Linked DNA regions of Schizosaccharomyces pombe. The protein of the gene in region 1 interacts with the protein of each later gene in a pairwise test. Each region holds a gene or a part of one and is shown in the gene's direction. Other genes may lie near its edges. The genes, in order: but1 and uba3.

Region 1 (3,834 bases):
TAGAATTGTTAAATGGAAAAGGAAAAAATGATGGAAGCGTAAAAGGGAAACGATATTTTTCATGTGAGAAAGGAAAAGGGATATTTGTACGCGCATGCTCTTCGAATGTGATGAAAAGACCAAGTGTCGTCAAGTCAAGGAAAAAAGGATCAGAAAACATATCAAATTTTATGGAAAAAACTAAAGCAATTAAACAAAAATCACGTAGGGAGCCCTCAAAATTTGAAAGATCATTGGCACGCCCATTGTGCATTACACCTATTGATTCGTCTACTCCCACAAAGACAGCTACGTTTTATACTTCATCTACAACTGAAAATCTAGATGAGCTAAATTTTTCAACAGAAGAATTATCAAGTTTTGACACTACTTTGTTAAACTCAGATACGAGCAAATTGTCTGGGCTTGACGATAGTAGTTTTATGGAAGAGGAATTTGTATGGCAAGTTGACAACGTTTTGCAGGAATGTGAAAAAAAATTTACTCCTCATTCAAAGGGAAGTTATTTAAAAGAGAATTTAAAGTCAGAATTAAGGAAGGGTCGTTTGGATGAATTGATGTGTGAAAATACCGCCTTAAAAGAAAAAATTGATAAATTAAATAAGGAATTAGAGAAAGTTGAACCTCAGTTGACATTCCTTCGCAGTAAAAACAGTATTGAAAAACCTCGGAATTTTAGGCGTGAAAAGTTTCTCAAAAAATTCTTGGCTATGCAGAAAGAAATAAAGTATCTAAGAAAGCGAAAGTTGCAAATTCGAAAGATTCCTAATTATAAGTACTCTGATCGAAGTTTGAATTCCAAAACTCCTAAAAGCCAGGACAACTGGACTACACAAGTTACACCATCTAGTCTCCTTGGGGTCTCAGAGGTTTCTAAGGTTTTGCAATTAAAACAGGTTCAGGTCGACATAACTGAGCTTGTAAAAATTCCTAAAAACCCGTTTTCTGAGAAATTGACAATATCTAACGTGAATAGATACTTAAATATTGTACCGGGAAGTTTGGATTTACAATTTTCATTAACAAATGAAAATTTTGTACATTGGAATAGCACAGTTTATCAAGAATTATTAAACTTAAAGTCCAACAACTCTTCAGTGGATGGTGTGAAGACAAGAAGGCAACTGTTGGAGGAAAATGCTTTGTTGTCTCATAAAGTATTAAAACTAACAGAAGAAATTCAAGACTTGGAAACTTTGAATCAGCTAAACACTGAAATAGAAGCAAGACAATCGGAAAAGTTAAATGAGGTGCAAGAGGAAACTCAAAGGCTATCTCAGTTACTAATATCTTCTCAACCTGCTTTGACAGAAGTTAAACATTTGAAACTATGCTTATCAGACTCTCAAGAGGAATTATTGCAATTAAATGCAAAACTTGAGAAAGCAAATATTGTAATAGACGAGTTAAACAGTGCAAAATTGAAACTATCAAAACAAGTGGAGGAGGAAAGTAGTATGAAAGACGACCTTACAGAAATGAACCAACGTTTAAAAGAACAAATTGAATCATACGAGAATGAAGTTAACTCTGAAATCACTTCTAGAACATTGAAAGAATTTGAAACATTAAAGACACAGTATGAGAAAAATCTTTGTAATTTAAGAGAACAGCTAAAGACCGCAAGGATGAAACTGGCCGATAAATATCCACAAGGTGACAATACTAGTGAAAATATAGACTGGCTCAAACACAGTTTACGGGATTCTAATACTGAAAACTCAATTCCAAGCCCATTGACCTTTGCCTGCAAGGAGATAAGAAAATTAGTTGCAGATATTAAACCCGTTTCAGTAGAAAAGCAGCTGGCCTTGAATTGGAAAAAAGATATCGAGCGACCCAGTTTTCATCACAATCAACAGCTATTTAATTATTGTCAGTTAACAGACATTCTTTCCAAAAAATGCTAATCTTTTAATGAGATATATAATTCAATTTATTAATAGCCGCCGAAAATTAGCTTCTAATCTTAACTGCCATATTTTAACGAATTTATCATTAATGTACTGTATGGTGTTGCTTTAAGTTTAAGATCGACTTGTAACCTCTTTTGTGACCTGTTATGCATTAACGAAATATGGGGTTGAGTATTTGATTGGTTCATGTTTGTATTAAACTAACGTACTTTTGGCCAATTAGATCGACTTTGAAGATTAATTGTCGACGTGAGAATCATGTAAATAAACAAGTTTACTTACCCTAAACCAACCACTTTAAGAGTGGGAAACTGCTTGTTTCACATTGCACGGTAGCGATATTATTTTTTTTTGTTACCTTTTTTCTATTAAAGCGTATCAAGCGTTTCTTCACCTTCTTGCAGAGAAAGGGTTAGAAAATGGAAATCGACCAAAACCTTTTCCAGTTTCCCATTTCGACTCGTGATGCTGTTCACGAGAAAAATTGTACTTTAAGAGTTAAATCTACAAAAAAAAGAAGAAGCTCTACGAAAGATGAAGAAACGCGTGGTATGCATCCCCATATAAAGAGTTCGTTTAGGAACGGAATGAACCATGCACGTGTCATTAGGGAAGAAGATATGGAAGTAGTATTTGAACCATGTTTCATTAATCTTTCCAAACCCGTTTACGTTGTAAATGGTATCGGTGGAATAAATGAAATTCATAAATTACCTATACTATTCTCTTCATTTGTTCTCTGTTTCTTTGGTAATGTCAGCGGTGATTATGGTTATGTTGACAACGTCCCACTTCACATATCTGTCATTAGTCACTTTTATCCATGTCTGCAATCCTACAACACAGATGTGATTGGTATCACTACTGATACGGTTGAAAATATATGTCAATGGAAAGCCCATCTGCCTCGTGCTCTACAATTTTCATTACCAGTTATTTCGGATTCTAACAATGAAATTTGTAGAGAGATGGGAATGCTGCATCCTCTTGGAGGAGCAAAATTAGCTTTGGATGCAATTGTAATTATAGATTCCATAGGGCGTCGACGCGACATCCTTCCCATTCGTACTACCACTTGTGTATCTACTTTAATAACAGCAGTTCAAGAAACTGTTCGATTTTTGGCAATTGAAAATGGAAGGTTGCTTTAAAAGCCTTCTATGATGATCACTCGTTCAAAAAAAAAATGACAAACAAAAATTTTTTTACGTTTCAGCAAAAGTTGATGATATTGTCACACATAAAACCACAAAACATGGGTTCAATGGAATAGAAAATACTTTCTATAAATACATATATATATATTTAATATTTCACAAAATAAATTACAATGTACCATAAATTATGCTGTCAAAAATTTACGATAAGGTACGGATGGGTATTTATTAAATTTTTCAAAAAAAAAAAAAAAAAAAGTGTAAGGAATAATTTATTAAACTATGATATCTTTAACAAAAAAAATCAATGAACCAATAAATTAAATAAATAAAAAAGTCAACTCTGATTATCAAATTATAAACATCACCGATATCAATTTCAATCAGTCAATAAATAATTTGGCATATTCTTTTTGAAGCATTTACTTTTTCAGAACAAAGCCAAGCTGATAGATTTTAGTTTAAATTCCTCTATTCAAATAAAAATGACAGTGCAGGCTTCTATAGTATTATTTTGTTCAAACAAAAGTAATCAAAATTTGAGTAATAAAAAAAATGCAAAAATTAAAAATAATCAAATATTCTCTCCCTCCGGGATTCGAACCCGGGCTGCAAGCGTGACAGGCTTGTGTACTACCCCTATACTAAAGGAGATCGTTGTAAACTAATCTTTATAATTATATATATTTAAGAAATATAATTATATGATATAATTACAGTTGGTTTATTCTTGTGTAAACCTACCAAAATTAATTTTGGAC
Region 2 (4,500 bases), 4.1 Mb from region 1:
AGAAAGAAAAATGAGAGAATGGTGCGATGTTGAGTTGGGTAGATTTGTGAAAGATACACACAACACCGGAAGTTTTAAAAGAATGATCCAAACCCCCAGTAGAAAACCTTCTTTGTTGTTTAATAAAGCAATTAAAACAATGAAAAGAAAAAATCCTAATGACTTAGAAGGTAGTGGGCGAAAGAAAATTATGCAAGTGATGGTGCATGGACTTTTAATAGTAAATGCTCATCTCCAATTAAAAAGCCTTGAGGTTCTGTTTACATTGGCGATATTGCGCTGGCAAATGCAAAGCCAGAATTAGATATTACCAGCATTTTTCACCTATTCTCCCTTAACACTGTCCAATCTCGTGAATTTGCGTCTCGCAATTTCAGATGTAAACAAATATTGAAACTGCGACGCATACATGTCACTTTGCTATTGTAAAACAGGCAGATCCCACACCCAGGTAAAATAAGAACCGAAGCAAAATTATGATAACGTTAAAAGGATTCATTTAGGAAAGGATAAACATAGTTAGTCACTAGCAAAAGAGAGAAAAACGAAATCATCCTTCTTTCGCACAATAACGAACTCATGCAATTCTTGCTGGTTGTTAAGGACATAGTGAAGTACAAGTGTTAGTGATATAATTCAAATTGAGATAATAATTTCATAAAACACGGACTTTCACTTATGTGACAATCATTCGCTAACTCGGTTTCATGTCACACAAAAAGCCACCATCGACTTAGTCGGGAGTGTAATATTTACACATTGGAACATGTTAAACGACATCGTTAAGCAACAGCGAGTGTCTTTACCGGACTTTTCACCAAAAAAATTTCGCTGCCCTATCTTGTACGCACGCAGAATAAAGCATTTCCAGCCAGTTATTGAACGCGCTAAAGTGTTGTAAAGGTCAATCTCGGATTTCATAAATTTCACCAATAAAGAAAAACCAAATTGCACATCATGTCAACGAAAATGACAGCTGGCTTTACACAGCCTCATATACTTAGTAGGTAATAATGATATGAGAGAGCATGGTGTAAGTAAAAAAAAAAAGGAATTTAGAATTTAATATTCTATGCTTGTAGTATATGTAATCACATACGTATGTGAGCAATCATTTTCTACCTGCAAGTTTTCTAGGTTTAAGGTTTTTTTCTTCGCTTTCTATTCAAATGTGTCATAGTTTCGCACTTACATGTAAACCAACATTTTCGAGCTATATTGTATGCAGCAGAAATGTAAATAGAAATATTTAAACTACACGTTTAAGTGTCAATTATATAAAAAAGAAATGTACAAAATTATTCAAGCAAAAGGTGATTTTTGTTTATTCATGCTATTTTAACCATCGGTTGCTTGGATGAAACATTTTCATTAATACTTGATTTCTTGATGTGACGGACATTCCTCTGTTCTCGTGTGCTTTTGTTCTCGACTATTACTTAACCATACTAGAAAATGATGAGTATTGTCGTTTTACAATATAGACGCAATACTGTAAACAACACCAGTATATAGGTAAACTGAAGATGAGTTGAGAACGAGACTCCTCCAATATAACTTACGTCTCTTTTGCTACGTATTCGTTGCATTTGCTCAAATGCGTTCTTGGAATGTATACGTTTGCGTAAATTAATCAACCCAGTTCGCCCTGAATAATTTCAAAAACTATGCGCAAATAGTTTATTAATAATATCAGATTATCCAACGCATTTGTAGAGCAAGTATTAATCTATGCAAACTCATTTGTGGGATGGAGCTTTTGCGTTGGGGTGTTAGTATATCCATTTTTTCTATCAGCTTTTTATTCTTAGTCAATTTATGCCAATACAAAAGCCAATTTCAAATAAAATGAAAAAAGACGTTTATTCAACTAATTCTGCTTTGGTAACCTAGTATTGTCATTACGAAGTGAAATCAGTTACTCTTCTGTTCTGCGTGTGTCGGTAGGACTGTTACTTACACCTATATCACATTATTACATGTTAAAAAGTATCTTCCAACTTTCATACTCCATTTCATTATCCTCTTATTAAATGAGTAGCCATATTTCCTGACAGCATTGGAGTATTTTCATACACAAATTCCTTTTCTGTTTACATGTAACGAATATTGGGAACAAAGCCAACCTCCAACGCATTTCGTTGACATTAATAGAGAATACAAATTCTTGACTCAGAAATTTTAAGAAATACTTCAAAAAACGATTATTTTTTTGTAGGAGATGCCCTCCTCAGACGTATGTAAAGCTGGTAGTCACAGGCATTCTGGATGGATCCAAAGTCTCAAAAAACCAGGGCCTTTCAACTTGGATGCTCCAGAAAACCCTGAAGAAACTCTTAAGTCTGCCTTTTCTTCTAAAATCTTAATTATTGGTGCTGGTGGTCTAGGATGCGAGATTTTAAAGGATTTAGCATTATCTGGATTTCGAGATTTAAGCGTAATCGACATGGATACTATTGACATTACAAATTTGAATCGACAATTTCTATTTAATGAAAGCAACATTGATGAGCCGAAAGCCAACGTTGCCGCATCAATGATTATGAAACGAATCCCTTCTACGGTAGTAACACCTTTTTATGGGAAAATTCAAGACAAAACAATTGAATTCTATAAGGAGTTTAAACTTATTATATGTGGCCTTGATTCAGTAGAAGCTCGACGGTGGATCAATTCAACTCTCGTGGCCATTGCTAAGACAGGAGATCTTATACCGTTGGTCGATGGCGGCTCAGAGGGCCTTAAGGGTCAAGCCCGAGTAATCATTCCAACGATAACAAGTTGCTATGAATGTTCATTAGACATGCTTACGCCTAAGATTTCGTATCCCATATGTACATTGGCGAATACTCCTCGATTGCCGGAGCATTGCGTCGAATGGGCATATTTACTCGAATGGCCTCGAGTTTTTCTTAATGCTTCAGTTGATAGTTTTTCTAAGCAAGAAGTTTTTGAACCGCTGGATGGAAAAAATTCCAATTTTGAACCAGATAATATCCGACATATTGACTGGCTCGTAAAACGTTCTATCGAACGTGCCAATAAATTTCAAATACCCTCTTCCTCAATCAATCGTTTTTTCGTGCAAGGAATCGTAAAGCGTATCATACCAGCGGTTGCGTCGACAAATGCCATAATTGCCGCGAGCTGTTGTAACGAAGCATTAAAAATTTTGACGGAAAGCAATCCGTTTTTGGATAATTACATGATGTATGTCGGTGAAGATGGAGCGTATACATATACATTTAATTTGGAAAAGAGATCAGATTGTCCTGTTTGCGGCGTATTGTCTGAAGTCTATGATATTTCAGCCTCATCTACCGTTACTTTAAAGGATATTTTAAATCATTATTCTAAATCTTATAATCTACAAAATCCTTCGGTTTCAACAGCTGCAGGAACCCCTCTGTACTTGGCTTCACCTCCAGCTCTTCAAGTTGCGACATCTAAAAATTTATCTCAACCTATATTAAGTATTACGTCGGTTGATGTGAACCTTGTAATTACTGATAAAAATCTTTCTACAAGTTTGTCTGTTCAGTTGAGAGAATGCTAGATTTGATGTTTATCAATCGCTAATAGACTGTGGATATTTTTGTGTAGAATAGCAGTTTCGCTGCATTTCAATATACTTATAAATTGAAAAGAGATATCACTAAAGAGATAGAGAATCTGCTTCACGCTCCTTACTATAATTCCTTGCTTATTTATAGTTATGTCATTTCAACTTTGTTTCAATGTCTTCAGTTTAACGACATCTCAAAAAAAATATATAAGTTGAAAAGATCTTATTTAATTTTAAAAAAAGAAACAATTAAACCAAATCAAAGTTATTCAACTCTAAATTACAAATCTACAACAGACAACAAACACGAAACGTATGCATACAGTTAGGTATTTAGCATATATAAGCATGCAATGTGCAAAGTATATTGCAAAATAGAAAGTAAATCAAATGCTTTAAGTTAATTTTATTTGCCTTTTTTTATGCTATTAATTTTATTGCTACGAGCATTGTCATTGAGTGATAAAAACATGCACTGCCCTTTGTTTAGGCATTTGCGACATTACTTTTCCATAAACAATTATTTTGATTCATGTTGCAAAAACATGACTTTTAACGACCGAATTTTCAAAAATTTTCATCGGAATAAAACAAGCGATATCATTTAGCAATAACATCAACAGAATTAGTATTTGCTCAGCAGCTATTAAATCCGCCTAAATAAAACAAGTTATTACATTTTCAAATAAATAGAAATTAAAAATCGTTCGAAACAAAGCAATAAGTCTTTTTCCCAAAAAAAAAAAAAATCGATAAATAAATTAAAATTTTCATTTTTGTAATTATTTTATTCGTTTACGTAGGTATACAGTAGAAAAACATGATTTTGCTCTCAACGGATATTTGACCGTGGACATACATTATTGACGCTTTTCTTACTACTAAGAGCCGGTTGACATCGACTTTCCATGAATGGAATCCCAATCTCGGAGACG

What was found.
Region 2: the proteins of but1 (region 1) and uba3 interact in a two-hybrid assay, tested with the Schizosaccharomyces pombe proteins (one study listed by BioGRID).

What each region holds. Positions count from the first base shown.
Region 1 is NC_003424.3:4,532,750-4,536,583, reverse strand, and holds but1 (thioredoxin family protein But1), read left to right. Parts: upstream 1-2,196; 5' UTR 2,197-2,335; coding exon 2,336-3,067; 3' UTR 3,068-3,258; downstream 3,259-3,834. Other genes in the region: dynactin microtubule-binding subunit, p150-Glued Ssm4, read left to right, coding at 1-1,910. UniProt on the Schizosaccharomyces pombe protein: Acts as a negative regulator of the NEDD8 pathway. Has a role in meiosis.
Region 2 is NC_003424.3:459,718-464,217, forward strand, and holds uba3 (NEDD8-activating enzyme uba3), read left to right. Parts: upstream 1-1,998; 5' UTR 1,999-2,221; coding exon 2,222-3,556; 3' UTR 3,557-3,882; downstream 3,883-4,500. UniProt on the Schizosaccharomyces pombe protein: Catalytic subunit of the dimeric uba3-ula1 E1 enzyme.